2 linked regions of the Styela clava genome follow. Each later gene encodes a partner of the first gene's protein in a complex. Links are inferred from orthologs where the notes say so. Each region holds a gene or a part of one and is shown on either strand. Other genes may lie near its edges. The genes, in order: ral GTPase-activating protein subunit alpha-1-like and ral GTPase-activating protein subunit beta-like.

Evidence for each region.
Region 2: ral GTPase-activating protein subunit alpha-1-like (region 1) and ral GTPase-activating protein subunit beta-like share a complex: the UniProt entries of both Homo sapiens proteins name them as parts of the heterodimeric RalGAP1 complex. The link is inferred for Styela clava from reciprocal best matches to the Homo sapiens genes RALGAPA1 and RALGAPB.

The regions. Positions count from the first base shown.
Region 1 is NC_135253.1:4,748,406-4,764,856, forward strand, and holds the start of ral GTPase-activating protein subunit alpha-1-like, read right to left. Parts: upstream 11,620-16,451; 5' UTR 11,601-11,619; intron 10,286-11,600; 5' UTR 10,189-10,285; intron 9,553-10,188; 5' UTR 9,490-9,552; coding exon 9,372-9,489; intron 7,721-9,371; coding exon 7,604-7,720; intron 7,453-7,603; coding exon 7,403-7,452; intron 6,253-7,402; coding exon 6,195-6,252; intron 6,061-6,194; coding exon 6,017-6,060; intron 5,414-6,016; coding exon 5,227-5,413; intron 4,935-5,226; coding exon 4,819-4,934; intron 4,402-4,818; coding exon 4,260-4,401; intron 3,544-4,259; coding exon 3,360-3,543; intron 1,372-3,359; coding exon 1,288-1,371; intron 493-1,287; coding exon 375-492; intron 1-374. UniProt on the Homo sapiens protein: Catalytic subunit of the heterodimeric RalGAP1 complex which acts as a GTPase activator for the Ras-like small GTPases RALA and RALB.
Region 2 is NC_135262.1:3,154,110-3,171,287, forward strand, and holds the start of ral GTPase-activating protein subunit beta-like, read right to left. Parts: upstream 6,497-17,178; 5' UTR 6,411-6,496; coding exon 6,281-6,410; intron 5,177-6,280; coding exon 5,106-5,176; intron 4,498-5,105; coding exon 4,292-4,497; intron 3,907-4,291; exon of another isoform or gene 3,808-3,906; intron 2,137-3,807; coding exon 1,970-2,136; intron 466-1,969; coding exon 279-465; intron 1-278. Other genes in the region: B9 domain-containing protein 1-like, read right to left, coding at 11,928-12,050, 12,826-12,925, 13,515-13,674, 14,061-14,241, 15,079-15,147; NADH dehydrogenase [ubiquinone] 1 alpha subcomplex subunit 13-like, read right to left, coding at 15,838-16,326. UniProt on the Homo sapiens protein: Non-catalytic subunit of the heterodimeric RalGAP1 and RalGAP2 complexes which act as GTPase activators for the Ras-like small GTPases RALA and RALB.

The sequences.
Region 1 (16,451 bases):
AACATTTCAATAATGAAAAAATCCGATAACTTAAGATTGGGGCATTCCTGATAGTTTCTTGGTGTATTTTACTATTGTCAATCGCCTATCCGACATCCCTGGCTATATATTGCTCAAATTGAACTAATATTTATTTACATAGAATTATATATACCGGTATATAATATACAATGATATATTTCAGTTACAATGGGGAAAGTAACAAATCATATTCAGAAATCACATAGAAAAACTAGTTAAATAGTTGCTAATTTGTTAGCCAGTACATGTCACCTACAATAAATTCAGATGGTAAAATAATTACTAAATCAGGCATAAGTGTATTAGTTAGATTTGAATAAATTTTAATCAATAACTTATAGTGTCCTTGCTACCTTTTCAGTCAAAGTACTTGTGTTAGAATGAGATGCTTCTTGCTCATGGCTACCACCAGATGAATTCCCTCCTGCCATTTTTGAATCTGCTTCACCAATGGCTTGTCTGTCTGGAAGTCTGTGTTTGTTAGGTTAGACAGTAAGTGAAATTGAATTGATGAAAAGTGGCTTAATAAATTTTTAATACGAGATATACATTGAAACTAGAAAGTGACCACTAATGGAAGAAAATAATGAAAATTGTGATGGTTGAAGTGTTAATTATGTTTGTACAATTATGATGTTGTATGAGGTTATGTGTTATGTTTTGTTGTGACTCAATTATTATGCCCGATTTTTAAATTTCTTCTGTAATTTCATTGATTTTGTAATATATCCAAGTATTATTTCATAAAAATTTCCACAAATAATGAAAATTGACCAAATATCATTAATTATCATTCAAATATAAATTTTAATAGGACTTTTTCCAGATAAATTATATTTCAAATTTAGTCTTAGAACAATTTTCGGACATTCACAATTATTTATGATAGTGATTTATGTAAAATGCCTCCATGATAAAGTGCCTAAATTATGACATAAGATTAATTATTTAATCACTACTTTTTAAATAACTACTGTAACTAATTAACACACAATCATGCATATCACAAACAAAATTCAATAAACTAATACAATAAATATCTGTCAATATTAAAATAATTCGCAAGTTCAACCATTGCACACTGAAGACCAAATTAGTTGAATAAATGAGAAAAAAAAAATGTTCAAAGTTGATATTTTTGAAATTCAAATTCATCTTTGCCTGTCGTCTCAATATTTGAGTATAAAAAGGATTATTGCAAAATTTCAAAATTTAAATTTGCATTTTAAAGCTGCAAAAAAAAAAATCAAAAGCAATGATAATCACCCAATTACAGAACCGACTATAAGCCGTTGTTGCATCATATGTGATTTCAGCAGTCTGGACAGGCCGTCCAATACGACATCCGACCTGCGTTTTGCAATTAAACAAGAACACAAAAGCAGAAAGCAAAAGATTAAAAACATTACATGCAATATAAAATTATCAAACAAACAATATTTACATGACAGTGTTTTTCGGAGCATAATGTGCACTTTTATAACCTTCAGAATGCATGCAAATATGCTACACTACAAATACTACAATTTGAAAAATGCTTTTCAAATTTGGAACTCAGCGTTCTATTACATGCTACAAAAAAATTGAATTTGGTATTGTTAAAAAAATGAGGAATCACTTTCGCAAATTTTTCAAGTCACCTGTCTGGCATTGTACTGATTATCCGAAACGAATAACAGCAACAAGCTAAGGCCAGTACACGATGTATGCTCCGAAAAACAGGAAGAAAATTGCTGAAGACAAAAATTGTACCCATTAACAATGACTGTTATTTTCCTATGATACTTTTGAATAGCAATGATTCATATTATCATTAACTGTTTACCCCATCAGCGAAAAGTAGCATATTTTTTCAACGAAGCCATTCAAAAACGTCGAATATTGAATGTTTTCGGAATTTAATCATGTTTAACATAAAAGTCGGTGTAAATTCAATGAGTTTGAATTTGGGAAATATAAGATATAAGAAAGATAAGAAGATAAACAATATTTGATTGGGGTTTGTATTTTATACAGTCTTCGGGATTCAATTGTAAGTATTTTCGATTATACTGCTGGTCCTCAATTGATCTAAATATGAATTTTTCAAGTCAAACTCGAATTGTTTCGCAATATAATGCTCAATTATTGTTTTGAAGCCTTACATTTTTCTTGATTTCTATGTGATTCAGGTCACATAGAATTTATGATACAGAAACAGAATGATACACATTTCTTCAAAAAAGACAACTTTTGGTTAGTGACCAGCTTTACCACCAATGTCCAAAAGTCGTAATAATCAAAAAATGTGAAGATTCGCTGAACATATATTCCAACTTTAATGATGTTTCACATTTAATACTAGTTACGTATTCACTCAATCATGCATTGACAGAATAATTAAGAAATACTACCAAGCCATAACTGAATTTAAATAATTGGAAAACCATTTAAAATGACACCGATGTCTACCCGAAATTAATTTAAATATCATCTACGACCAGGAGCACTGAGAATGTCATTGGATTAAATTTGAAATTCTAGAATACGGTAATCTAGATAAAAAATTTATTGAGAAATTATGGACAACCATGTTTTTTAGTAAGAAATAGTGTGCTGCATAATACGGAATTCGTGATTTGAGCCAGGTTTTCCAAGATAAGATTTAAAATTACCAGTTACAATATGTTCCTAGATTAATTAGGAATACTCTTACTCGAATGAAAATTTCTGTACCATTACATGTTCCTTGGAACAACACTAACAAACTATTATAAACCAGAACTTGAAAAGCACTCAAAGCCTCAAACACATAGTATTGCCTTCTATAGTAGAACATGCATCACAGAAGACTTGCAGGCTGTCCAAAGACCAGTTAGTTTTGTTAATTAATCAATATGATCGTATGAAATATGATTCAGTATTACTATAATATGATATTATATTATTTGTAAATTTAGAAATGAATTAGGAATTACAATCAACAGAGTGCAAAAAACACAAATCATTTGAATTTGATAAATTTGGCTTGCAAACAAATTATAGTTAGTGATAAAATTATCTCCCTCTAGTAACTAAAGAATAAGTAATTCTACGGATTCCATTCCACTCAAAATTAGTCATATTCATATCGAAGATATTTGAGTTGAATTTATACCTTTGGTGTTTGTGTGTTATCGGTATCCATTTGTTCCCATAATATTTTATATTCGAAATTCAACAAATTTTTGGTTTCAACTTTTAGGTTAGTTTATAGGAAAAATCCTAGGTTATACAAGGTGAGTACTGTAAATTGTCCAAATGAGAGTAGATATTACAATTGCACCTAAGTATTACTTAACTCAATGTCCATTACATACCTTGCACCCCTGTTCTTATTTTCATTGTGCAGGGCATCACTTGTGAACGCTATCACCCATTTAATTGTGGAAACGCGAGCAGGCAGCATGGGACAACCAGGACCAACTTCAATACACGGATCAATTGAGCCAGTGTCTGTTACATTTAAAATGTAGTTCACAGGTCCTCTCGGCTCAGGCAATGCTGTAAAAAAAACAGGTAAAATTAGTAATATGTGATAAAATGCCTTGTATAATCAGTATAATCAATATAATTGAAATTTTGTGATTGGATGACATTTAGATGCTTTATTCTGTATTCATAGTCATATTCAATTTTTTTTTTAATTGCATTTCAGGTAGAACATTTACATTTATGTAAACTGGATTAGACAATTTGACTGAGGAAAAAGTTTGAATTCATTTATCGTTTAATAACTCTGTGATAAATTCTTGAATTGTAATTGTAAGGAGACTTATGAACAGTCTGTATATCAAAACAAATAAAGTTTTTAAAATAAGAAGAACTGATACACAAGCTCATAAAACGCAGCATTTATAATATTTATACCAAAAGACAGAAAAAGTCGATAAAAGATCTAAAAAATAAAGGCAAATACAACATGTATCCCATCATCGGTTTAGGCCAGGCAGGGAAATGGCTAACTAGTAAATCAATCATTCCAGGTGCTTCGGCTTGGGCTTCAAACATACGAACCCACACAAAAGGGATCGGTTGTGCAAAGGCAGAAGAATTATTTACAATGAACAGCGCTTGTAAAATACTGTTTCCTGATAATGATCTGCAAAGAAGTATCTCAGAAATGATAAATAAGAAATCTAATGAAAAATAAATTATTATTTTTCACCACTTACAGTAGTAAGAAGAAGGCATTCTATCTAAGATTCCTTAAAACTTACATAAATTAGGCTGATAAACAGAAGTGTCGAAATGAAAATCATCAAAAATATGAGGAAGATAGTATTTCTTGAACATATTCCAGAGAAAAGAAAAACAGACTGTTTCCATTTTTGGTCGATCTTTCCATTGTAACTTACAAGCCTGAAAAAATAAAATTGTTTATACAACAGGATGAGGAAATTTAGGTATTAATCATATACCTTCACACTAACTCTCTGAGGCTTTAAACGAGAAGTATCTAATCAGAATATATGATTACTATGCAATACAAGTTGAAAACTATTAAATTCAAAAAATACAGAAATGATCATTTTACTATCAAAATTAATTTTACGTCCAATTTTTTACTTCCATATCTGGATTAGCAGACACTGATAGGCTGTAGTGACTATATTTTTTACAATACCCAGAATCTTTATGGTTCAGCCCCTATTTGATACATTCTGGGTTAGGGTGATAGACTTGGGTAAGAGGTCTCCAACCCAAGAAGCCAACATTGGCAGCATACTAATCTTCCACACAAGTAATATTGACTTTATTGTAAAATATTCATCTTACCTCTACAACCATATATTCCAACATTATATCCAAGAAGAACTTCGTCAGGTCATGAGGATTCTTTTCGCCAGCAGGAGGAGGAAGCAAGCAAGTAATTTCTGCAGGACATACGCCAGCTTGGAAAAAATGAATGTATCAAATTTTCAAGAAATAAAAAACCAAGAATTTACTATATCGAATATAACCATTTTCAAATACATTTGAATATTTGATTCATTTTTTCTCAGACATCTCAGAAGTATCCATGGATATGCGTCAATTTATGTATGTTGTTTGATGAATCCTTATTGAATGATATATTCAGTATCCCAAAATAAAAAATATTGTTTTTGGAGAAGTTATTTTTTGACCATGTTCGTCTACTGCAAATCTAAAGTAAATTAGATTCTAGTTCATTAAAAAACTTACTTTGACTGTTGTCAGGAACAGGATTTATTAGTGATTCAATGTAACATCCACTGTATAGTTCATTTTTTGCTGGTGGGGAGGGAAATCCCGGTACAATAGATGCATACAATAATATTGTTGATTCTTTAGCATTCACATTCAAAGCACGAAACCACAATAAGAAGAATTTCACTCCATCTCGTCGCATCTAAAAATATATTAAATATTAATGATGGTGTGAATTCGCTGTAGCGTGTAATCTTGCTCAGCGAAGAGTTTCCTCATACTGAGTGAGTAAACGCGACCTTGCATTGAGTTAATTCTCTTCAAAAAATAAACAAACTAATGAATAGAAATGAATAATAATAACTAAAAAAACAAGGTTAGACTCCCGGCGACGCAGCTACTTGTGTTTATAGTGTTGGCATCACAATGGGGGTTAAGCAGAAGTAAATGAGACGACACATAGCAGAAAACCGCCGGACCAGTTACCAGAATCTTGGACCAAATGATCGAACATTCCCTAACAGTTAAACATCTCCCACAAGATTTGCGGAGTCATGCAAATTGTTGGAGATTTCAATATTCAATTATCTAGTCTACGGTAATTATTTCTCAAGATGAACTCATTGTAATACGAAACTAATTGCAAATAGCCATATCAAATGTTAATAGACAAAAGAATTCTATAAAGGAATTTTAAACTATTTGTATTTGAAAAGCGTGGGAGCAACAGCATTGCTATAGCATCACGGTAGTATTGCCTGCTTTCTTAGAGCTTAGGTAAGAAAAAAATTCACATCAAACAAACCTTGAGTGAATTTCCTGGATGTAGGAGCGTCTTGATAATTCGATCTAAAAATAAAAATAATAAAAGAGGTGCTAAGTTGTGTTACAAGATAGCTGTTACTGATATGCAATGATGTCGGATTTTACAATTTGGCTTGAAATCTTGCACTATTAATATTATGAATAATAAATCATCTTACCAATACTGTTATATTGCCATCTTTCATGGAGCATCTCAGGTAAACGTACAAGAATAGTCTAAAAAATATGGTTTTTCAGCAAGATCAAAAAATATATAAACTAAAATAAGTGTAAACTTTATGAATTATGAAGCCTCAATCTCTTTTATGGACTAATTAAAATTCAGACTATTTAGATAGTTTTGTTTTAAATTAAAATGCAGCAGTTCAATCATATTTGTAGAATTGGAATATGCAGAATTCAAGCCAAGCAGAAAAAATCGTTTAATGGGTTTGAAAACAAAGGGCAAATGTTGAAATTTAAAAAAACATTTAAGGCGTATATCAAATCATAGATTGGAGCAATATTACCAAGTATTTATTAAAAAGTTATAGCAGTTCAAATATTGAAAATATACAAATTTCAGCATTTTAGCAAAGCCCTTAATATGATTTATCAAAAAATTCAATCCCCTTTGAGTCAGCGAAAAGTTAAAAGTTAAAAAGAATTGTGGTGGACAACCCAAAAAAAGATATTTGTTAATTTCAACACTAATATAAACAGAGTCACACATATCTTCATGTTCATGGGCATTACACTAAATATATCTGAACAATGTTTATTCAAAACGCATAATGTTCCCTGATGCATTTATTAATATAGCCTATAGAAAAAAAATTCCACGAATTGAAACTCATCTGTTCTATCAGCAGATGGATACGCTGTATAGTATGCAATTCAAACATGTAGCCATTAAACCAATTCAATAAACAACAGGAATACATAAAACTCGACAGGAAAAGATCTTAGTCATACATTCACATGCTTCAATCTTTGCCTATTCATTTATTAACCTGTATATTTATTAACCTACTTTGAAAAGATGTACTATGGTTGGCCATAAGCAGAAACCAAAATAGAAAAAGTCCCAAAGCATATAAAAGATATAATCACTATAATTTCCCCCAACTAAAAGTAGATCTCAATTTTAGTAAAATGTATCCTAAATATGTACTTATTGTCAAAGGGCTGCATTGATTTTTTTAACTGACTATAAGTTTGAGTAATAAAACAATTGTGGACATGCAAAAAAATAAACACAATTGGTGATTAAATATAATAAACAAAGTCACCGCATGTCATATAAAAATATTATTACAGTGATGACAATAACCGGTGGTTTTCATGTTTCAACAATGGATATAATATGAGTAAAAAAAACTCAAACCTCAAAAATTTGCAGCATGCCATCGAGCTCTTCTCTTTGTGCTCTGTGAGCTGTAGAGACAAAATTTTGAATAAAAATTTATTACTGTGATTATTATATTTATGCCGCTAAAATGTTTAGGATTAGAGATAACTGAGAAAAATTTAAGCAAAATGCTTCGAATATTAAAATGTTTATTTTTATCTATCAACTATCCCCTACCTCCTTTCTGTCGCACATTTGCCTCAGCCAGAAGAAAGTTTTCATAGAAAACATAATAAATATGAGAATAGTATTGTTCAAAAATTGCTTGTTCTTCTGCTGGATCAGTGACATTATCTGTTAAGAATATAAAGGTACACTTAGTTGCAAGAATGATAGTTGAATATTTTCATTACAATTCAATGTTTGATACTGATTTTAAGCCTTGATGGTAGAAAGTGGACAAGATATCTATCTTTCCTTTCTAATTTTAAAGCATAAAGAAAACCAAAAGTCAGATAAAAATTATATGCTTATGTATGCATTTTATAAATGACCACATATAAAATTTTTTGTCCAAACCTTACTATCTTGGAACAGTCGAATTTTTTGAATATTTAAAAAAAAAATTATTGCAAATGATAATAGACAAGGAACGATAGTAGAACATTTTCTAAATACAGCAATATTTATTAAGTGAGAAAATATGAAGGCTATAGTAATAACCAGGACTTCCAATGAATGTTTTCCAAAGTATCATCTGTTATGTTATGTTGAAATATCAATTAAAATATACCCAGTTGCTACACTTTTTAACACACACACACATACATTTTAAGCATAGTTGCACTTGAAAACATTGACTAGTTGTCTTAGTTTTGGTCATCATTTGGTAGTTTATAAATCTATTTATGTATCTAAAATGTATGTATGAATCAGCAGTCATTTTATTTTCGAATGATCACAATTTTAGTAATTGCAAACAGCTTTAAGAAAGTTAAAGCACGAGGCTAAAATTACCGTAACTGTCAGACTTTTTAACAGCAGCAGCTTGCATGCAACAATATGGTGATTTTATAAATGTGAATCAACTCGCACAGGAAAACCCGCAAATCCACTTAAAATGAACATCAAAAATACGAAATGGTAGAGCATAGAAAGAATTTTTCTGTGGAGGGAAAACATCCATCAGGTCATAAAAATAATGAACTTAACATCCTACATCCTAAAAATCTCACAAAGATAATTATCCACTTTCCTATCTCCACGCATGAATCAAATAAATTAGGCACAATGTTTTATAACAGCAGGCATAATATCGATGTATTTATGGCATTCATTGGATAAGGGCGAGTCTTTTCAAACATAAAAGGTGGGTAAACAAACAATGTTACAAAGCAATAAATGTACGTCTAGAATTAAAAAGAATCATTCAACACTCAAATCTCCTAAATAGAAAAAAAAAAATCAGACATTTCTCATTACACAAATGTACTTTCAGTTTCAGCCAACGGGTAGAAATAGTCATTTTCTATATTTCGAATATACCGGTAATATATGGAATTTGAGATTAATCCATACACGAAAAAAGGGATTAGGTAGATTATCTTTTTCAAGTACTTTATATATTCTCCAGTAATTAAGTGATTTGCCTAAAATACCCAGTGTTCAGCGTGAATTGGAAATAAATGAGAAAAGAATCATGGCAATGTTACAATTTTCTGAAAGAGTGATTTTTGAGGGAAAAACGGATTCAAATTTCAAATATTTGTTTAAAGTTTCAGTATACAATAACTATGCAATGTTCGTGAAGTAGTGTTTTCTAACTTGGTTCTTCGAAATTACTGTCAAATTTGACATTATTGCCTCAAAACTATCATTTTTTTCAAATTTATAAGCGTATCACATGAAAACATATGGAAAATGAAAATAATTTAGCTTTCCATGTTGAAATTTCATATTTTTATCAGCACTTTGGAAAAAAATATATAATAAGCAGATATTTTACCTAGAACAAGCCTCAAATGCTTCAATCTCGTGACAATATCTTTTTTCGGATCCAATATTTTTTGAACAGATTTCTTTACTGCTGCATCACCCTGAGGTTTCTTATGAATCTGAAACATCTTGTGTTTTAACCGAGCAGCCTGCTCGGCCTTTGACGGTGGCTTATCCAGTTTGCAGGCTGTCTAAATTTATGTATTGCATATAATACAAAAAAGCTGAACCATGACAACAGTATCAGAATAAGGAAAGATAAAATGACTCATAACAGGATGAAACCGGCTGCTCTGAGGCATTTTGGATTTACCCTCATCTTTCGATATTATTATTTTATTGCATCAAAACTGGCTTTTTTGTCTAAATTATGAGCGTATCACATTATTACATATAAAAAGAATTTAGGGTAATTTTGTGACTTCTCTATAAAAAAACACAGATTCAATAAAAACTTTGTGTAATAAAATTGAGTGTATATATTGATTTCATACTAAATTAGGTTTGCTAATCCAAAAATTAATCTTCAATTACTTTGCAATCCTAAAAAAAAAGATTATCTGGCACCAAAATAATAGATTTTACTACGTAATAATATTTAATTTCACAATAAAAAAGAAAAAATTAAAAAAAAAAAATTGAATTATATAAAGAGAAACTGTTTGGCATTCCTAAAGGTAATGTGGCATACTTTGAATTCATGAACACTTGCAAGAAAGAAAATTGATACATAAAATATCATGAAAATATAATAAAATCAAGGTGAAAAAACACATGTAAATTTGCCTACTATAAATAACAAGAAAAGTATTTTGAATTTACTTCACCTTTGGATGCAGATGTAGAAGTTCAGTTGAGTAAAATCTCTTTACATTTTGCACAAACCATGCACATACATTAGTTGTGTTCTACATTAAAATCATTCTGTAAATATGACCAATAAAATGTAACCAACAACAAATTCCTTGAAAAAGCAGTTCGAAAAGTTGAAAATGAAAACAAAACTGGTTGTACCAAGTTTCTGAATATTAAAATTCAGCATCTAATCCTAATATTGTCATTCGAATATGCAACAACAATGGTGAGATTTTTTCATTATTCTCTATAATTTTAATATCACATCTTCAAAATTGATAATTGTTGAATTGTTCTACCAAATTCGTCTAGCTAATGAAATTTTCCCATCATAACTTATGCATCACAATGCATAGCAAATATTTCAGTTATAGAAAATCTTTCAATTTAAAATCAAATCAATATTTTTCTGAAATAATATTGTTATTAGTTCGTAAACTTCAAATTTTCAATTCCCAAATGAACAGGTACTTCTGTAATTTATGAAAAAAACTATAAACCAATAATCATGTTCCTTATGATACGAACAAGGACTTGGAAACCATGAAACTGGAGTCAAGCATTCCATAATACTGTAACAGATACAGCGGGAGCAAACAGTAATATTAGTGGCCCCACTGCCCCAGCTCTTAACCATTTATGCCTACGCGACGCGGCCTACGGTGACGGTGCTTCGAGTTTTTTATATTTGTAGTCTATGTATTCAGTTTTTTTTTGTTCTGCTGTAAACTTTTTTTCATGATATAATGTTTAACCCTTTTCTTTTTTTTATATTAATTACTGTTAGACTGTATCATGGGTGTCGCTGCTCATTAACCAGTTTTGATTTCTCGCGCCACCTTCAGACCTTTCAACCCGAAATGCCATATTCAAATCTCTTCTTTCTACAGTTCTCTTGTTCACATAATGTGTATTTTCTTTATGGTGATAAAATAAGTACGGATTACTGGATTACCGTAATTATTTTTCACATCTATCATTTTTTAATATTCCATACAAATACTAAAATCTATTCCTATTCATCTTTTACAGTTTCAATTTTTTCAATACTGCAATACCATATTTCTAATAACAGAATAATAATTAAATTCTAATTCAGTAATTCGAATTCGTAAAATTAAAAGCCTTAGCCATTCTGACTTAAAACCATCTCCCTATTTATTTACTGATCTAGGGAACACGCAACTGTGAGTCGATTTTGATTGCATAGCATAGAAATTCTATGACATTCTATTAGAATGTCATAAAAATAAGTTACCCGGGCAGTGCAGGAATGGTGATGGCGGTGCAAGGGAAAATACAATTATATGAATAACTGCAATATTGCATTTTTAGATTTTCTGTGTAACGACAGAACAATGAAATTGATTCACAAAGAACTCACTTTTGTCCGAGGCGTTGCAGGCGAATTTTTATTATATGCTAGACTGCGGTTCCCGAATCCCGACTGCCCGCGAGGGCCGCGATGTCTTGATTGAGAATTGGCCAAAACAATGGAAAATGATAGTAATGCACGGCGTCAAAAGTAGCTTATAAGGGGATAATCCGGTACGAAAATATCGGCTCATTGCAGTAAACGTGGTCACGAAATGAATATATCGCTAAATAAACATATTCTGCTAATAGCAACTATATTTCATTCATATATATTTGGGACGCGATGGACTATGGTGCTTATTTTGCCCATCTCCCAACTGACACTATTTTCATGGGTTTGTGCACCGACTTCTGACTTTATATCCATAGCACGTATTTCAATCGACAGTCGACACAGTAACTAATTTTAAGTTAAACTTGCAACTTGCGCCTTTCAACCTAAAATGTTTCAAAACGTTTTTAAGTATCAATTCAATCTGATGCGTTGGGTAACGCTAAACACTAGACTAGGCTCTCATTCTTATTGCTGCATGAAATGCTCTACGCGAACATTAAAGATTCTTTACGTATTTTAAAATAACTTGGGATATTTTGATTTAACGTGTTTTATAAATTTTGTGGTTAACCGACTTGAGTCATTGTTCCCACATCAACAACTGCTAAGTCACTTTGTTTATCAGCTCGCTTCGGGGAGCAAACAGGTTTATAAGTTAATATATCGCCTTACATAGCGAAATAGATAGAAGTTCATAGTTTTAGCAGGAGGAAATGGGCGACAAGAGTATAAGACAACGCAATGAGAATATATACGTAGTCATACAGCAAACCATTGCCTCTTGCGTCCTGCCCGTTACCCCTCAATGTCCATATAGGAATAGTCAGAGAATTATTCCACAAAACAACAATTAAAACACAATATTAAATACAAAAATAAATTAAGTTCGGGTGATACTTTTGGGTGGGTGAGTCTCCGATGAGGGTCATCTGGGCTCACGACCGGTTGAGCCTCATTGTTGTTGTTTTTTTCACTGTTTTAATAACGACACTAAACCAAGAGCAGCAGAAAATTTGCTCAACTAACAACAGGGTCCAACGTAGACGTAGTCATGGGTCTTGCGGGGACAAACTCTTACGCTTTTTTCTACAGTATTTTGCTCTATTCTGTTTATTCCTGAGCGATTCGCCGATAACCCGACGTTTTTTGGCATGCTATCAATCCTCTTTCCAAACGAATCAATCGAGAATGTGAAATTGTGCGCTTGTAGAGCTTGGATAACTTCGGCAGTGAAGTAAATCTGTGGAGAGCTTTCTTAGCCTCAAAAAATGACTACGAATGTTTGCAGGATTAGCCGAGTGTGCGAGACGTTGCCGGGAAACAACCGTGTTAGCTGAGCCATCTTCTTCATACCGTGTTGAGATATAGTTGAACTCGGCGATGACATCGTATCGCTTTTCAGATTTGTGCGTTGTTCATCTTGAAAGGAAGGATCAAGGACAATCGTACAGTTAATATTTATTAGCTCAGATGGCCAAAAGCGACGAGTGAAATTCTATGGGTAGATTGATGTTATAAATCGTCACGCTAATAACCGAATTGCGTAAGTCATTTTTGAGTTTTTCATAAAATAGGTATTTATGTAATGCTGCGCACCTGTCTGTTAACTCAGATTTTATTTTAGGAATTCCGAAACCCATAAAAATAGAGATTTTGTATGATATGCAAATTTGTTCAATTGTTTCGTCATAATGAATTATCATTGTTAGCGCCGGACTATTGTGACGTCACAAAGGCAATATAACCTCGCCGAAGGATTTTCGAGTTTTTGCATCTCAGACTCTAGTTTAGCGCTTATAAATTTCAATTTATACTACAGTATAGGAAGGCGTGCACTTGTGATATTCACTGTCCGAGTCCAATTCACCTTGGTTGGCTTTCATATAAGGGTACATTGCTGTTTTATTGTTTATATTTAACTTTAGTCTTATTTCGGTGGATGTGCAGAGCATGTTGTATTGATGAAATATATATTTTTAAACATAAAAAATAATTTAATTGAAACAGATTAACTATTTTGGGAATTAGACTTCGTATATACTAAGAAATACATTCGTTTTTGGATTGTTTGGTTTTCAGGACTGGTACATATAGTCAAGTTGCAAAATTGCGGATGTCCCCTAGTCATAGACACATTTCTGCCACAGTGCCATTATGACGTCACATGATTGCGTCATACAAATTAACTCCGGCTACGATCAAAAAATTGAACCATGGCAAATTATTGACTCTCAATGGCATAGCAATATCATTAGGAAGTTTTTTACGTTTTTCTCAAAACTGCTAAAAATGACTTACGTCTTACGCAATTCGGTTATTAGCGTGACGAAATTTTCCTTTGAATGTTTTGAATAAAATTTTCAAGCGGTTTTAAATTAATGATCAGTGAAGGTTTAAAGTTGTTGAATTAGCTTAACTACTAAACTATTTGTCGGAAAGTAATGTTGCAGACCATATATATATATATCTGCTAGTTTCAATTCGAGATTTAGCGGTATCACTTTTGTCGCCGATACTGACGAAAAAACGCCGATACCCATATGCATAATATGTAATTATCATCTTGAGTGTGAGGGACGAACGGGATAAAATAGTTGTCTGCGAATTATATTTGCATTAGCTCGAAGAACAGATACTCCAGAACATAGAAATTGATATCTGTGATTCAGATGCAAAAATTGCGTATCAATTGACTCAATCATTACTAACGGTTTATTTAAATACTTGAATTATTTGCATCATAAATTGCTTTAAAACTTTGTCGTGAATTATGGTAGTGTCTGCCGACGTTTCGTTGTGCATAGGCGTTTTCGAATCGCGATGTTCGATAAGATAAGCGTGTTGTTTACCTGGCGAAATACGAAAATGGTTACTTATCCTATTACCAATACATAGAGTTACGTGCAAAGGATTATGTGACACCATGATCTCATATTTCGGATTTCGCAAATCGGGGAAATTCACCGTGATATTTTTCTTCGTAACTACCATGTATTGTTCAAAATAAATGTAGTTGCAATAAACAATCAGGATAAATTTTGCGTAAACTATAAAATTGTAGTGACAAATAATTACGGTATATTCGAAAATGACTTGAATTTAAAAACATTAGGAAGTTCAAAACCGTTAAAAACGTGACGTTACCTTAAAACGTGACTTTATAATTTACCTTCCCACTTGCAAGGGTGAGCATGGCTCAGAGTTAACGAAGCAGTAGATGTCGCAAACATGATATCTTCATGCAAAAATAATTGAACATTACTAACTTACTTATGAAATTATTAACTTACATTTTAAAACGTGCTAAGGCAGATCAAAGCGCTGAATAAAATGCCGATAAAAATCCCGAGATCGGAAAAATTGCCGATACCGATCGCTGGTACAAACCTTAACTGTGTTGGCATCGCAGATTAGACATCTTGGATTAAAATTTCATGCCCCCACCAACCCAGTGTAATAAATTGGGGCAGCAATGCCGGAGTGGAAAGTCCGGTCCTTCAAAATAATATAATAAAAGATCTTTACATATCATTAGATGTCAATGGCTGCTTGTACAGACCTTGTTCGGAGCGAAAGGCGCGAGCAAGCATCGCGTTATAAAAAAAATTTGGCCTTGCTTACAATAGTATTTTTCGCGCGTTTCTTGATACAAATTCGTCAATGATTTCATTTTCCTTTTTCGTCCCTTTTTATACTTAATGATGTTACATCGTTTCCTGATTCAATAAGTATCGAAGATACGAAGGAATAAGTTTACTGTACAATCGCTATGGATACTGCCACTGTCGACAAAATCTGTAAAACCATCCAGAGAAATTTTCAGGCTGCGAAAACTGTTCATCGTACGGTCATTTTTTGAATAAAAAAGGCACATGGCTGTTATGGTATTATTTTAAAACAAGCTTGGTATATTCCGCCTTCATCCTATTCGATAAAATAAGTTGCTTTCTAGCATTTTTAGTCCAACATCGCGCTTTGAAATAAAGTCCGTTACATCAGATTCAGGTCATCGTTCACTTTCAAAACGTTTTTCAGATTGGCCAATTTCCTTACTTTCTCGCTTGGCCAACATCTTCAGGTCGTTGGCAGACAATTTTTAACGACTGTTGTTGAAATGAGATACTAATATATACGTTATCAATAATTTTCAGTTGAAATTGTATTATTGAAACATTCTACGGTTAAAACTTTTCGCCCTTTTCCCTCCCTATTCCAATGGCGCCCATGACACGAGCCTTGTCTGTCATTCCCCAAATACGTCACTGTTTATGGAGGTCTTTTAAACGCGCGAATTAATTTTTAAGTGGTGGAACAAGGTTATTTTGATGCATGAACTCACCAATTTATCCAGATCTGAAAACTGTATAATTACTTGCCGATGTAAGTTCCATCATGGAACAAACAATTGAAAGTTTTTCACATAACTTGAAATGCACCTTACAACTTTGCTTCGTAAAACCTGTATGTACGATAAGAAAGACTCGGAACCCCAACTAAAAATGTAATCTTGCGAACAAGGACTGTAACTTGAGCGTTTTGTGTCTATAAAACTCATCGACATTTTGAGACAACATTGTAGACGATGGATCAATAGGAAATTCCCAACTAAAATATCAATGGTAACACTAATTATTCAATGCTTTTCGTTCCTTCAATTGTTGGAAGATGCCGCAACTAACTAGCTGTTATACGAACCACCCCACGACCGCGAGGAGTCCAGTGATCCTTTTGCATACAGTCATCCAACACAGGATTCGAATCTGCGTCATTCAGTGGCGATAATCATCCCCGAAATGACCATCA
Region 2 (17,178 bases), on another chromosome or scaffold:
TTATACCAAGGAACACAAGAAGTCAGTGTATGTCAAATGGGTTTGAATGTGGAAATACAGGGAAGTCGCAGATAAAGAATGATTCCATTGGTTTATTTTGGTATTATATGATTTTCAGAAATTTGGGCCTTTCAGGTGATATTGTGAGTAATCAATAATATTTCATCGAAAGAAATTATTCTAAATAATTCATAAAATCGAATAAAGTTAATTTTAACTTAATTCAAATCTTTGTATCACGACCTTTAACCTCTGAAACAAAGATAACTAACACAAACCTTGCAGTTAATGCAGCGGTAATTTTACACCAATACTCCACGACAGGTGGATGATGCCTCCATCCAGCAAATAATAACCTAGCAGTCTTCCATAGTGGAGGGGAAGGGAATGACCTGGCACAAGATAGAAGCCACACTTGCATAAATGTTTGCATTAGAAGTTCACAAAGCTGTTCAGCTAGCCCATCTGTAGGAAAAAAATATATAATTTTTTGAAAGGCATTAGAGGATTGCTGGACTCCTCGCCGTCGTTGGGTGGTTCACGTAACCGCTGGTCGGTTACGGCTTCCTCCACCACCAAGTCCATGCTTCTGAAAACAAACAATATAACTAATCCCATACCCGACTTGGAATGGTAACCGGACGAGAGGCCGTGGTTCGCCATATGGATAAGCCGTCTTATCGGCTTTCCTCTCCCCCGGGATAAATATGTAAATCCTATCCTATCAATGCTGAGACAGAGGCGTAGCAGGGAATTTTCAAAAGTCCAAAATTTTTAATTGCCAACTTGGACCGTAACAGCTAGTGTGTCCGGTCAGAAAACATGATTTTTGAGTCTAGAAAACGTTTCAAGCTATGAAAAATTGCTATGTTTGATACAGAAAAATATGGGGTCCGAACTCAAAATGCTCCCCCTGGCTACGCTACTGCGCAATTTAAGTTTTATATCTTTCATTTAGAACAAGGATTTGTACAAGCGACCATCCCTACTTAATGGTAATTCACCACCACTACTCATGGTCATTGTGCCTACATGTTAACTAAACCTAATCCTAAGAAGCAAGAGAAAGCAGATAGGTGTCGCTGCCTGAAGACCTCTTGAGGTCCCTCGCGACTCCTGTCACACAATTTAAGTTAGTTTCTACTTGTATTTGTAATATTTTTTCATATATCGTACCATGTTTAAATTGTGTTGACGAATAAATGATGATTGATTGATTGATACAAAATCAGTGAAGCGTGAAATAACAATAATAAAATGAAGTGAACTGGCAGTGCTGCCAGCAATTAACAAAACAAAATAATACAATAGCAACAGATGTTTTAACGCTGAGGCAGGGGCGTAGCCAGGGAAAGGGGGGACTGAAATTTTTAATTTTTAACAGCTAGTGTGTCTGGCCAAAACACGTGGGTTTCCAAATCCAGAAACGTTTGACCCCCAAAACCTCACCCTCTGGATCACTACTTCCTTTTGGAAGAAATGAATTCTATACTGGTTCGGCACTCAATATGTTACTTTCTGGGCGAGGCATTCAGTGTGTAGTTTGAACTGAGGATCTTAATAATCCGCAATGCCAACATAGTTAGGTACCATGCCTTAAGTACCAGACTAGGGTTTCTAGAACTGTACCGTTGAGGGGCCCGAAACAGTTCTCTGAGGACAACAAGTAGTAGCTTTCTTTCAATACCATTCGAGGTGACTACATTAATTCAAGGTAAATCAACGGGGATTTGTTTAATAATTTTGACTGAATTGCATGTATTTCTACTTCCCATTTGTTGAGTTTTTTTACGACTGAAGATGATTCATAAAATAACCAATGGGAATACTGCAATCCTCAGCAGGCGCAAGCTGATACAAAATCAGTGAAGCGTGAAACGATAACAATAAAATAAACAGGCAGTGTTGCCAAAAATTAACAAAACAAAATAATACAATATCAATATTACTATTGCCCTACTAAACTTACTTGGTTGTGAAGGGGCAGCAAGAAGTTTGTCACAAACATTCAACATGAACATCAAAATTGTCTCCCAGGTCTCTCTGTCTAATAACATAGAATTCTGAACAACGTTTTGAATCGTTCGAAGCACATTCTGACATAAACTAACTTGGGTTGACACAGCTCCGTCGGTTCTGAAAAATAATATGGATATTTGATGAATATATATATACCGTATTCATTTTGGGAGAGAGAAAGCCTATAATCTTCATAATCATAATATTATTATGGCGAAAAACGACCTCTAGCCTATATTGGCTGTATATATCAGGTTTAGATAGAAACCGGTTTCAGATGCATGAGCTTTATCGAATGACATTTTTACGCACATCTTTCACTCAAAATAAGGCGCTGCTGTAGGCGCTGTGCTACTTTGTTCTGGATGAGTCATTTAAAAAATGACTCAGCTCTTACTCTGGTTGGACAGAGATTTTCCTCTTGGAAAAAAATTTGATTCTAATTTTAAAAACAAAATTTCATTAACAAAGCCTTGACGAATGAATGAAAGCCGTCAGTCGTTTTGGACATTCCCAATTTACATCTGGTGTTGGGGTGCTCCCGAAGTATGCGAACCAAGATGGCGGACATCGGAACGTAACATGGATAACAGGTTAGGGTTAGGCGATAATTTTTTTCCAATTTTCCTTATTTTAGTACTATTATCAGTTCGAGGACTAGCCAAGAGCCTCCCGTAGTATTTATACCTAAAATCATGGCCTAACCCTAACCTGGTACACATATTGCATTCCGATGTCCGCCATCTTGGTTCGCATACTTCGGGAGCCCCGGTGTTGGTTTGTTTGCTCCACCAAGTAATAATCTATGATTTGATCAACTAGACCAGTGGTTCCCTAAGTTGATTGACTGGAAGCCAAAATTAGAAGCGGAAGGATATTCACGGGCCAATACTATTATTAATTAAGATATTGGTATAATTGTAATGAATATACCCAGGCTTGAACTGTTATAACAATGTAACAATTGGCAGTATCTGAAACGCAAAGAGAAAAAATCACAAAGTGTTAAAACTATTTCCCTCAAGTTCGGCAGGCAGGCCATATTAAATCGTTACACGATATGAGAACCACTGAGCTAGTCCGAGACAGCTCAATGAATAAAAAGCTAGACAACAGATCTAAAACATCTATTAGTTCCAAAGAAAAGCCTTTTTTTTTCACCACGGCAAGAATTTAGCAAAACGATTCATCTACTCCATGTCAAATAAATGAATAATTCATCACAATTCCTAGATCAATAATATTACCAGTACAAACACACAAATGAGATATGAAGTAATTGCTGATTCAATTTATTATTCAATAACTAAGCATACAATATGGTTCCACTTCCATGTAATTCTTTCTACAATGCATATCTTTATTATCGTAAGCAATGGCCAAAATCTTATTTGCAACTTTGAATTATTTAAAAAAAAATCTAAAATTACATTTTCGGATATAGTTAATTGAGTACTTTCAAATTTCGTTCAATTGTTCAACAAAAACATAGAAGATAATGTGTAGCCTATTTAGCGCACTAACGCTTAGCACAATGTGCCTCCCCCAACTCATATAAATCCTATACTAAGTAATATGATACAAATTCTGATAATAGTACTTTAAATAAGTTCAATATTGTTTATAGCCGTTCTAAACTAAATTTGAGTTGAACTTATTGATATTAAACAATTTAGTGGCACACATAGTGCCATGGGAAAGAAAAAATCTCGATTTCAATTTTAACCACAAATGGTAGCATAACTCAAATGAGTGTCTATATATGCAAGTCAAGCATAGGTGGATATTGTGTATTTGAAAAGGAGAGCAGGTTAGCACTCCCCTTGATAAGGACGGAATTCACATATACGGGTGAGGCACTGCCGAAAGGCATCCACCCATGTTTGCAAAATATAAAACAGGATTAGGGATGTGTCATCAAACCAGAATAGAAAACTACGGGCTGTTTGTTGACAAAATTAAAATTGTTCATTTTTTCATACTATGTTTTCATCATTGTATTCCTAGAATAATTAAAACAGCATTAGAAATTCACAATATATATATTTCTTTCAAATCTCCTAGGCTCGGTGCATCGTACCAAGCGTTAGCACTACATCCGACTTCGCACCCCTGATCACTCTGCATGGGTTCGCAGGTTTAAATCCTGTGGAAGAGGATTGCTGGACTATCACCACCACCGCAGGGTGGTTGATTCACGTTGCCATGATTAAATTGCCAAATTGGCTTTTCTTTCTCCTGGGATAAATATATAAAATATAAATCCTCTTACCTTGGAATAAACAGATTCTGCAAATGGTAAATCATCTGCCGAACATATGATAATGGATTTTTCAAAATTGGTTCAGGAACAGTGGCTTTCGGAACTGTAAGCACAGTTAACCAATCAAGATACACGTTCACACTTTCTCTCAGAGTGTCAAGTTCCATCAAAGTGAGACTCAAACCGAAGCACACAACTTCCATCGTCCATTTAACCTGAAGAAACAAAGTTAGAAGTTTAATATTGGTTTGTTTTCATATGCTTTTTGCTTCGAGCAAGGCAAGCAACTAGTATGGTTTGGGGCTGTATTTTTCCCTTCATTTCACGCAGTAGTTCCTAAAGCTGCTTGACCGTGGGCGAATAATAAAAGCCGAAGGATATTCGCGAAGGAGAAAGAATAGTGCCCGCATGGGGCTGATACCGACATCAGTACATATAATTAAGATACTGGTATAATTGAATAGTTACGAGATCGAAAAAAGGTAAAAGCATTTAACACTTTATAAAGCGTTAAACCATTTTACTTGATTAAGTTCGGCGGGCCAAATTAAATCTAAGACCAGCGGGCCAAAGATTGGAAAACACTGCTATACTGGCTCTACTATTCAATTTCTGATCTATTTCGTTTGATTCTGTTTATCTTAAGTAAGGTTACCGGTACCTTACGTTCGAGCTCATTTTAACATGTAAAAACTATTATAACACAACTGAATGCACAGTCTATAATGGACATTTCACACAATATATAAGAACCATCTTTGCTGCCCCATTGACAATATATCACTCAGAATAGTGCTATAGTGATAATACCAACATTACATACCTCAGAATCTTGCCTGAACCTGGGTATATTCCCAATATCAGGAGTTCGACTTCCATTGCTAGAACCTCCACCTGTTGCAATAAACAAAAACATAAAAATTTAACTCAATACAGTGAAGCATTCAAGTAAGGTTAGATCTATATATTCATTACTAGATGAGCCAACCGAGCATATCGAAAGGGTTGGCAGTATGCCTCATCATTACTACTCCACAATCATGAGCTAACTACCGTAACACCATAGGATTTACATATTTATCCCGGTGGAGGGGAAAGCCGATAAGACGGCTTATCCATATGGCAAACCACGGCCTCTCGTCCGGTTACCATTCTAAGTCGGGTATGGGATAAGTTATATTGTTTGTTTTCGGAAGCATGGACTTGGTGGTGGAGGAAGCCGTAACCGACCAGCGGTTACATGAACCACCCAACGATGGCGAGGAGTCCAGCAATCCTCTCGCACATAACCATCCCTGCATGGGATTCGAACCTGCGAACCCACGCAAAGTAATTAGAGGTGCGGTGGCGAGCGTATTCCTAACTCTTAGCCCGTTGAGCCACACCGCTGCGCTGTACACAACATGTGTTGTTAAATAGATGAGAGGCTATGGTTCGCCTGTCAACTATTCTCCCCCGGGACAAATATGGAAGTATTACAGTACAGCACACTATCCAAATTTCAAGAATTTCCCTCCATTTGGCTCAATAAAACAAACACTCTATGTGTCTCACAAACGAGGGGCGTCTGGGACCATGTCAGATGCTTCATATCGTGCCATGCTTGTCTCAATAAAAATCTAAATGAATCGTGGGCCGTCACATGACCAAAATTGCCGTTTTTTGCTAAAAACTCTCGAATGCTACGGTAAAATTTTTTTTCCCCTACGGTAAATCGGATTATTTTTTCCCAAGGAATTCAATGATGACGTTATTAAAGTGTGCTTTTTTGTAGTATTTCGCGCAACTTCATTATACTGTATTATTACCGATATTGAGGGACAACAATGTCCAGATGTCTCCCAAAGAAGGGGTGTCTGATCATCTGTAAAATGGGTTTCTCTGAAACGGGACAATGTCACCCGATTTGTATAGTGTGCCGTACAGTATTAACATATCCTAAGAAATACCATGCTTGAATTAATTAAACATGACAACAATCAGAAATACAACACTTACCACCTAACAAACTGGTTACAACAGACTTTGCTACATCTCTTCCAACACTCGGCAAATAATGATGAAGCACACTGGTACATTTTTCAAGATCTTGGACTTCAGTTTTAACCGACGTCCACTCCGAATACATTTTATAATAATAAGGTATATCCACTTGATGTCACCATAGAGTATATAATTATTTTATGTTCTAATTATACATTATCTCAATGATCTTCTAAATTGAAAATATTAGCAGCGGATGAAATCATAGGCGCACAAAGTATTCAAGAATTCAGTTTAAAACAGTGCGGATATTACTCAATTACATTGAATTAAGACAGTGGTTTCCAAAGTTGATTGACCGTGGGCCCAAATTAGAACTGAAAAAATATTCCCGAGATAGGAGAGGGTAACGCCCGCAAGGTTTGAATTGTTCAGATATACAGTGATTGAGCCCATGAACTACAGTGATAATCGCTGTATATTACAGGGTGAAAAGAGAATCCAAAATTTTTCCCAAGAATCCCAAGAAAAAGAGAATCCAAAATTTTTTGAAGTATTTCTACAAAAACGAAGAAAATTTACTCAAGACTTGATCTACTGTTCATTTATTATTGTGCCCCAAAGTTTAAGTACCATAATCTAGGTCGCTTTGCACAAAAGTTATCATATATCCTCACATATAAGCCGAATCCAAAATTCAAACCAAGGGTTGATCGGCTTATACGCGCACAACTCTGAGTGCATTGAACGTTCAATTATACGTGCATAACTCTGATCACACTCAAACAGAATGACATGTTGCTAACTTAATTCCACCAGCTACAACTCGAACTATACAAGTTCTTACGATGAGAGCATACGATTTGTAGTGTCGGCTTATATGTGGATTTTTACAAAATTCACCGTTTTAGGGTCGTTTTTTGGGAGTCGGCCTATATGTGAGGATATACAGTATTTTTTCTTAAGAATATTGTTATATATGACCTGGGTGCTCTTTATATTGAAAATTGGATTTGGAAGGATATTTTGTTCATGAAACAACTTACTTTGGAATATGAAACACAATTTTAAACATATTCAGTGGTTATGCACATCAATTTTTTTAAGTACTATTCATTTATCACTCGAACAACTGTTTGTGTACGATTGTACTCAAAAGTTACAGTAATCTTTGGACGCTTTGCAGAAAAGTTATGTTTTCTATAAAATACTTTACAAATGGAATTTGTATTGGATTTGAGAAGATAATTGGATCACAAAAAGTAAACATCTTACTACTTTAGAATATGAAACACAATTTAGAAACATATGCAGTGGTTATGTTAAAAATTACTAAAAAAATTTTTGGTAAAATAGTTGATATACTTTCATACTAATAATCTATTACAATGAATCAATAATATGAAGATTTGATAAAACAAATGGTCACTCAAAAATGTTAGCTACCGTCACAAAAATGCATATATAATACAAAATCATAGATTACACTTGATAAGCTTTCAAATCAAGCAATATAACATAGTATGCTGTCTGGGTTTGATTATAAAAATAAAATTGTATATCGTAAATGAATATCAATAACATTACAATAATCAGCACAAACAATACAGTCTGAGTATACAAACATTGAAAGAAGCTGCCTCAAAATTGCAAAGATAAGATAAGAGCAAATCTGTTTGCACAATTACGAAAGGTAAATCACTCTTAAACTGCTTATTATGTTTATGTTTGATACAAGTATAACAGACTCACCGGGTCATTTACATATATCAATTCTCTACCTAGACAGTAGATTAGAAATGTATTACGTCAATCAATTGCATTATTATTCCAAGTGGCACATCTCCATAGATTTCTGCCACAATACGGAAGAGATTTTTTCATCAGTAGCTACAGGATATAATTTTCGCTGCCTCATTTCGGTAAAGTAGTTTCCCGAAGACTCCTCGAGTCCATCCTCTAAGCAGCAATAAAGCGGGGTCTGGCATCCGTAGAAAGAAGAACGGCAGAAAAGCACGAAAAACATTTTTCTAAATAACCAACTAAAGAATCTTCCTTTATTAACTTGATCAGCTCCAATGTGGGTTTGAATAGCTCCTGGGTGGACTGCGTATACAGTAATATTATTGCAAGTGCCACCTTCTTGACGTAATCTTTTGTCCAGTTCTTTTGTGAAATACACATTCATCAATTTTGTGTTAGCATATTGCTTAAAGATTTGAAGCCCAGTTGAGTTCCGATTGATATCTGGATTCAGGTTGTCAAAATTTATCTTCCCAAATTTGTACCCTTCTGATGCTACATTCACGATCCTAATAGGAGATTTTTTAGCAGTTTTCCGCAAAATAGGCATCAATAATTGAGTCAACAGAAACGGTCCTAAATAATTTGTACCAAACATCAAATCAAGCCCATCTTTAGTTTTTCCTTCTAGAATAATTCCTGCATTATTCACCAAAATATGCAAATTACTTTCAGATTTCAAAAACTCCTCAGCAAACTCTCTGATACTTTCAAAATCTGCCAAATCAAGTTTCATAGAATGCACTTGATCATTTCCAGTTTTTTGCCGTATTTCTTTCACTGCTTCACAACCTCTGTCATTATTTCGGCAACAAATAATAACTCTTGCGTTACATTTCGCAAGGCCGATAGCGATGCCTTTTCCGATCCCACGGTTACCACCGGTCACAAGCACTGTTTTTCCCGTTAGGTCTTTCTTGCTATTGCACACGGGCCCGCGTTTAAAAAATCGCACCCATACAATAATAGTCAGAATAACTCCACCGCCTATGATATTTGGCAGTGTTAATAATTCTCTTTCGCCTGACGGAAACCAGGAATCCCCATTAAAAAACATAACGCCTTTCTATCAGTGTAGAGTCAACCCTCGCGCAGTCGACATTAGTCACTGCCAAATACCACTAACATCGATAAAATTGTGTAAATAAAAGGCTGGATGGTCACATTCGTCATGGTGCGTCTGTGGGCGAAACGGTGCCGCATTCCGACTTCCAAATCCAAACCGAGTTACACAGAAAATTTTTGGGCGTCCATGAGCGTTTTTGGGCATAAAAGGACTTCAAAATAGCAGAATGAAACTATTCGCCGTTATGGTCAGTATACTCAAGCAATTTATGCTTATTTATCATTATGCTTTGAATTTTGTTATATAAATTAGGTAATCACTGACCTTTGTATGATAAAGAAATGATTATAATTTTTATTTATTTATTTGTTAACTACTAGAATGTAATTTATCATGTTCTTCTTACTTTATACCTTCTGTATGGTTGTGTGTGAGCGTGTGTGAAATATTTCAATTTTTTTTGGTGAGTGAACACGTACCACTTCTTCTTGGCAAAACCTTCTATCATACATTCTGTACGTTTTAAACTAAGTAAGGTTTTGTTTGCTCTCCTGATTTCATAATCAGTTTTTATTTTTACCAATCATTTTATTGCCTTACCATTTTTTAGGCTTTCGCCCTGAACATGACCCTGGAAATGCAGGTACTGATGCAAGGAGCTACTGTTTTTGGAACGACCAAATCCTTTTGTCTCGGTCATGCGTCTGGGTAAGACGGTGAACCTGTTTGAACCCCAGTAATCTACCCTGTGGCGCCAACTTAATTGGCGATCTCACCGTCTCTTTTTAGCTACCACATTTACTTAACGATATCGAACAAACCAACCGTAAGACGAAGCGGACCTCCTGAAGTATGCGCACCAAGATAGCGCACAACCTGAACTCAGGTTGTGTACCAGTTTAGGGTTCTGGTTATGCGACATCTTGGTGCGCATACCTCAAGACCAACGACGAAGCAGAGTATGTACAGGCCAAATAACATGTTACCTATTCTCAAAGTTAATCACTCAACAGTTGTTTCGCATGCAGTTGGTGGCATCATTCAACACAGGTTAAACCTAATTTTAGGTTGTTTATTTCCAGATTATTCGCTTTTCCACACTTTGCTATTAGGGTAGGATTCAAATAGTTATCCCGGAAGAGATGAAAGTAGACAACACGGCTTAATCATAGGGCGAATCATGGCCTTTCGTCCAGTTTTCAGTCCATGTCCGGTATGGGATTAGTTATTTGTTTTCAGATGCATGGATGGAGTATATGTAGGCTTACCATACATCCCGCTTTAGGCGGGACAGTCCCGATTTTAGCGTCTTGTCCCGTCGTCCCGACAAGTCAGCCAAAAGTCCCGCTTTGGCGTTCAGCTATCCAGTATGATACACGAACATGTTCTCGTTACTGTTGTTTCTGTGTAGGGCAGCGCTAGCCTACTTACTGAAGGTGAAAATGTGAAGTTACAAAATCACAGCTACGGGGGTCGTTGTCTCTGGGGGCTTCCCGCTTTGAAGTCACAAAAATATGGTAACCCTAGATTTTTTAGCCAATAATCAACTGCTCATTTCTGCACGTAGCAGATTTCAGAATCAAGAAAACACAAAATGCATACAAGAATAATATATCTATTAGGTATATAAATAGTAAAAAATCATCTACATTATATGAAAAGGTTGAAACAATAAAAGTACCACCAAAGTGCCAGGAAACCAAATAACACTAAAAGAAAATCACCAAAGCTTAGTGAAGTCATCAATTGAGAAGCAAGTATTTATTTAATAATAAGGTAGATGGCACCACTTTTGACGTGGGAAGTGTGCAGAGATCTAGTTAACGAAACCTGAAATAATCCATTCTTTGCCTGAAATATTCAAGGTAAATAGCACCATATTTTTCTTTTTTCAATTCAAGAGCCTTGATGCCAACTATCACAAATGTATTTCTGTAACAATCCGTCTAACCTTGTTACGAAAATCTTGAATTGAATAGAATTGTCATTTGCATACGGAACCACCTGCCCAAAGGCATAGAGTGAGAAAACGTAGTTACCGTAGTTTCACGTAACCCTAATTGTTAGATACTTTTGCTCGTTGAAAATGCACCATGAACCACGCGGGGAAAAAGAGTCATTTTGTAACCTAAACTCTTCTGAAATTTGAGTTAGAATGACTTTAAATTTATGAGTTCTTAGTTCGAAATAGATTCTGCACACCAAACAATTTATTAGAAATAGAGTCCGAAAAGTACTCTCAAATTAAAAAAAAATGATTTAAATTTGGCTGCACTGAACATAGTGCCTGTGCAACAATGCAAACCATTGGATATTTGTATATGGTTTTCTACAATAATATCCTGATATTAATTATTAGATATTAAATTATTTTTCAAATAAAGTATATAAAGAGTTTATAAAATACAGGGTGTTCATAAAGTCCCTTTACAATTTCAATTTTGTTTAAGTCAGTTCTCAATATATCTTAACCAGATTTGTCGTTTTTTAAACAGTAATGTTTAGGTATTTTTACTTCATTTAACACATCTGTGAAGGCAAAAACAATCCATATCCATATGGTATGGATAAATTCCCTTTGCATTTTCAAATATTTTCTAGACTTTATGGCACCCTATATTATTCAGCAAAGTTTCATTTGAAGATTTGAGTATGTGAAGATTTATTTATGAAACAATGTTCAAAAAATTTCCACTAGACATAATTATATTTAATTCTGTCAAATATAAAACATTCCTGAACTAGCAGCCACAGTGGTTATAAGCAGCAATCAAAGTATCTTATTTTGGAATGTCACGATAGCATTGTGGCAACAGCACCAGGCTGAGATTGCGTGGCATCGAATCCGAGTGGTTCACCAGGCGTGACATCATAACCCATCTTTTTCATATCTCTTGTTACAACATTAAAAGTAACCTGAAAAATTTGAAAACTATGAAGTGGGTACTCCCGTAGTGTTTGTAGCAGGTTAGGGTTGGGCCATAACTTCATTCAGATTTTGGTACACACACTTCTGGAGAGCCATAAACATGTGAAACGCTATAAAGTGTGTTACAGATAGCCAAATTTCTTAAAGTAAATTTCTATGTGCTGAAAAGGACACAGGAGTGAAGAAAGACAATATGGCGGCTCAATCATATGGCAAACCACGGCCTGAGTCCATCCGGTTATCAGTCCAAGTTGGGTATGGAATTAGTCAGCCAGTTACTCATTTTCATGTGCATGGACTTGACGATGCTTTCATGAATGCATCAGGATTATTAACAAGAATAGCATAATCTCTTTCTCAGATAGCAAGTATATTTTTTTTTTTTGACATCATATAGGACAGCAATCCTCACATACATGGACACAAGGCCGCACATTGGTACGGGTATGGTAATCCTGAGGCTGAGAGTATCAGAGGACAAGCTATGCAGAGACAGTCGAGTGATACGAAATAAATAGTGTACCCGTCAAATTAAAATAACACGGCAAACATTTTGGGTAACATATAGCATGCTTTATGACACATAAATTTGACGAAAAATACAGGCAATAGCTTCCTAAAGACTCTCTCATCTTTGAGCACTGAAAATTTGAAATTGGTTGGCCCATTGGTTGTGAAGAATTGAGCTTTTTCTCCAACAACAACCTCCGCAGTGTGTAAAATAACAACTTTATACATGTGCAACAACTATAGTTGACTGACCTTTATATGACCTTGTGTTCGAACTCTTGTGACATCACGACCTTCACCTTGCGCTACGACCTTGGGATCTACGAATTCAGGACGTCGGCCAAGGAACCAACTGATGGAAGAAAAGGCATGATTTAAAAACAAGATAACAATTCAAAACAAAATTTCTCGTTGAAGAATAGGAATTCGTTAACTCTTCTGTCTCGCACAAAGTATAATTTATGATATAAAAAGCAAACTGTAGAAATATACTGTAAATAAAACCAAAAGGTTTCGTGTTTTTACTAGTGCAGAATTAAATTAATATTTGAAACTGTGGCCCTTTTTAATCAATACCAGCCAAATAAATAAAATATTAGTCCTGAGATATTATGTTTTGCAGCATTGATTCAAAAGCGTAATATTAACGTAAGGCAATCAGTAAATCAAGAGTCCGGCAGCGCCCAACAGAAATGTATTCCTGTAGGGCTGTAAACTGCTAATATGAAAAAGGGAAATACATTTGAGACTTGAGTATGCAGCAGGACTCTTAAATTACATAGTAAGGTCATTTTTATTACTGCTACAGCATCCTTGCATCATACGATACAAATCCACAAATGACAGGGAGTCTTGTTTAACCCCGACTCATAATCGCAACAGAGTGAAGTCAGAAATCTGACGAATGTTGGTCACATTTGTGTCATAAGATGAAAACAAACCTTGTAAATTTTTGTAACTTTGATGACGATTCGGGCACGAACATCGGTATAATCCTTGAGTGTTTTCCAGGTGCTATGGGCACATGTGTGGCTCCATATCCTCTGACGACATCCTGACCAAATGCATCTGGACCATAACAGCTAACGACTAATTGAGGCCCTGTTAGATGATAGAATGAAGAAGATGGAATTCATGTGATTGCCTAGCTGTTGGTGTGTTAAACTGCATTGAAATCGCAGATTACATGTTAAGACTTCAAATCTCATTCCCATCCTTGGGTAGGTAATGTTGAATCGTAACTAATCCTTATAATAGTAGCTCCCGCATATTCTAAGACAGAGGCGTAGCAAGGGGGAAGGGTCTGAGGGTGGGACTGTTTAGAGCGCAGGGCATGAATAAACATTGTACGCATTACAAAACTAGATTCTCCAGGTTATGCTTACATTATGGTCTGTGGTACATCGGCAAAAATATTTAATTCAAACTTTATTGATTCTAACAGGTCAACTTAACATGCAATAAAATTGATTTACATGCAAACTTACATCCAAACGGATTTGTACTTTTATATGTGATATCCAGAGGGAAATTCCACACAAATAGTTGTCTCTCGTCTCGACTTTTTCTTGTGATTTGTGAGATGCCTTCTTCTAATCCAGCAGTCACTGCCCAGTCTTGACCATGAATGAATGAAAACTTGCAATATAACTCTTCAAAATCTGGAAACTGATAAAACACAGGAGTGATTGCGATTATTCAAAAGCAGGGGGTACACAAAACAGTGAGGCGCATGCTGACATGGGCAAATCCGGCCCCGCCTGATTCTGCAACAGACAAACTAAAACCAAATTTAGATGTTTAAGCTAAAAAAACTAACTCAAGGAATTCTTGAGATTGCGATGCCGATGAATTCAGTTTTGAAATAATTCTGTAAATATTGTTCGTAAACTGGGCCGCCGGCCGGCAGTCTAGGTGGGCAAATATTTTGACCACTTGTTCAAAAACCTTGCCCCATGTGCTATGGGTTTCGCAACCCTTCTCTATAGCATATAATATACACAAAAATCTTGTCACATTTTGACAGTAGAATTTCAACACAATAGTCATAAAACCTTCAGTTTGTGAGATAATATGTTTGGCAGTGTAGGAACTGTGCCCCATCTTTGTTTTAATTGCGAATCTGAAGTATAATAAACTGTGTATGTTGGGCTAAATCAGAAATTTTCGATTATTCAAAAATTATTGAAGTGACAGCAGGACATCTGAGGCATTTGGAGAACTGGTTACCTTAATACCGAATGAAAAATGAATATTCAAAAACTGCCTAATTTAAAAAAAAAAATTATTTAGTCTCGAAAGATTTTTTTTGTTTAAGCAAAAATTTTTTTGAATCTAATATCACAAAAAATTTGGCATTAATCATAACTTGATGTACTGAATTATTAATGTATGAATTCCAAAATAGATACTTATTGTTAGTTTATTTAAAAGTTTCAATCCATGAACGAGCATAAAAAGAAACGATAAAAGAATGATATAAATAAAAAAGTGAATGCAACTTACAACAGCACTTTCAATTTGTCCTGTTGACATCAACATAAAGACAGCTGGGTTTGGATTCAATCCGGCCATTTCACCAACGATATATTTCTAATTATTAATAATATCTAAATATTTTTGAAACAAGTAAACACATTCAGAATAAACAGAAAATGTCATTTAGAATGATAAGTGTTTAATAACAGTATCATATTCAAAATAAACAAAATTTGAGAGCAAACTTTGGATTGGTGAATCATATAAAGCATAATATAACTTTAATAACATCACTAACAAATCTACTCTCTTTCCATAATAGCTAGAGCCATAGACTTTAGCCATAATAGCTCTAGGATTTATAAAAGGGTTTATCAAGCTGTAGTAACGATCTCATGGTAATGTGAAACATATAATTATTCGATCTGGTGAGTTTTAGAATCGGGACATTTTTGCCAGTTCCTGAATCAATGATTGGAACAATGTATTCAACAGGAAGGTAGTATCAATTCAGCTATTTTACAATTTAACAATTATTGGGTTTAATTGCTAAACTTGACGAGGTACATGATAAAGTATTACACACTTATATGTTCATTGCTATATATTTTATAAATTACTATTTCAAAATGAGCTGCTGAAAAACTAATTTATTTGTTAGGAATCCAATTTAGAACAACTAGACTAATGATAAAATTCGAACAAGTACCAAAGCATTTGAATATGGATCCAATTATAAAAACTAACACTCAAATAACAAATTCTGAAATCAAATAAATGGAGAGTCTAAGGTCCTGGAACATCTTTTCGGAAATATTGGTGATACCACAGATCTATGGCACGAGTCCATGAATAGATCACTTCTGGGTATTGGTGATACGGTGCTCGCCATCTTTGCGACTCCCATTCGTGTTGTCCTACCACATGATCAGGGTCTGATCCAGTTCCGATGATGTTGAGTGCTTCGGCTTCCATTATTTCTTTATATTCTCTGAGGTGATTACGATCTTTTTCGGCTTCCAAAAGCGGGAGATATGTCATTTCAATTAGTCGTGTTTCCCGTTTTTCAAATTCGTCCAATTTCATGTTTTTTCTTATGATATGGAAGCCGTAACCAAATGTAAAAATAGCAAACCCAAATATTCCATAACTGCTGGGTCCACGCACGGGAAGATTTCTTAGATATGGAATCCTTCCATAGCCCCCGGGCGGGGGCATGTCCTGTTTATACCTAATCTTGCTCCATGCCTTTGATCCTTCCCCAGAGCCAGCCATTTTTTTCTGAAATGGCCAACCAGTGACGCCAATTCAGTGGCGACTGGAAAATAAACCTTTTGAACAGACCTCGACCTCAAAATTGTCCTACGAAAATAACTCTAATGAAGTGTTTTGGCGACAACTAGTGTTGAGAACAATGGCTACTAGTCGTCGGTCACTATGGACCTTTCCCCGAGCATCGACTTCCTTGTTTACTTCGTGACATTTGCCAATCAGCTAGATGCAAAAAGTGACGTAACAATGCCCCCTTTTCGCATCCGCTCAGACACTTTTCCCACTCAGACAGATTTTCAAGCGTGATTGTAAACATTACCTCGTTTTCGCGTTTTTGAACTCTATTCGTTAGTTTTCAGTTGTGTTTTGGGAACTTAAATAAAAATCAGATAATTCAATGATCACTCTGTCTTTCTAGGAGTTTTAATTCAATTGCAGTAATAAAAATTAGTGTAGAAATAGCTGTGATAGACTAGCCTGAAATTCTTTACCGGTACTTTTAGAAAACAGATTGCTGTATGCGATGAATCATAATGATGGTTTGAAACACATACCCCATTTTACAGACGCCAACTCGCAAAAGCACTCTTAAAATAGCCTTAACAATTTTGCAATGGTAAAGTATAGGAAGAATTTTCCGAGGGTCAAAGGTCGGGGGAAGGTCCATTTCTTTTTGCAAACAAATAAAATTTAAAAACATTTAACACAAAATTTTATATTATTTACAATTACTAGCACTACCAGCTAGAATGTGTGAGTGTTCGAGATTTTTTTAAATTCTTGAATTATAGAAAGTGGGAGTGGGACAATTGATTACAGTGGGCGCAATACTACCGTATAAATATCGTTGCTATT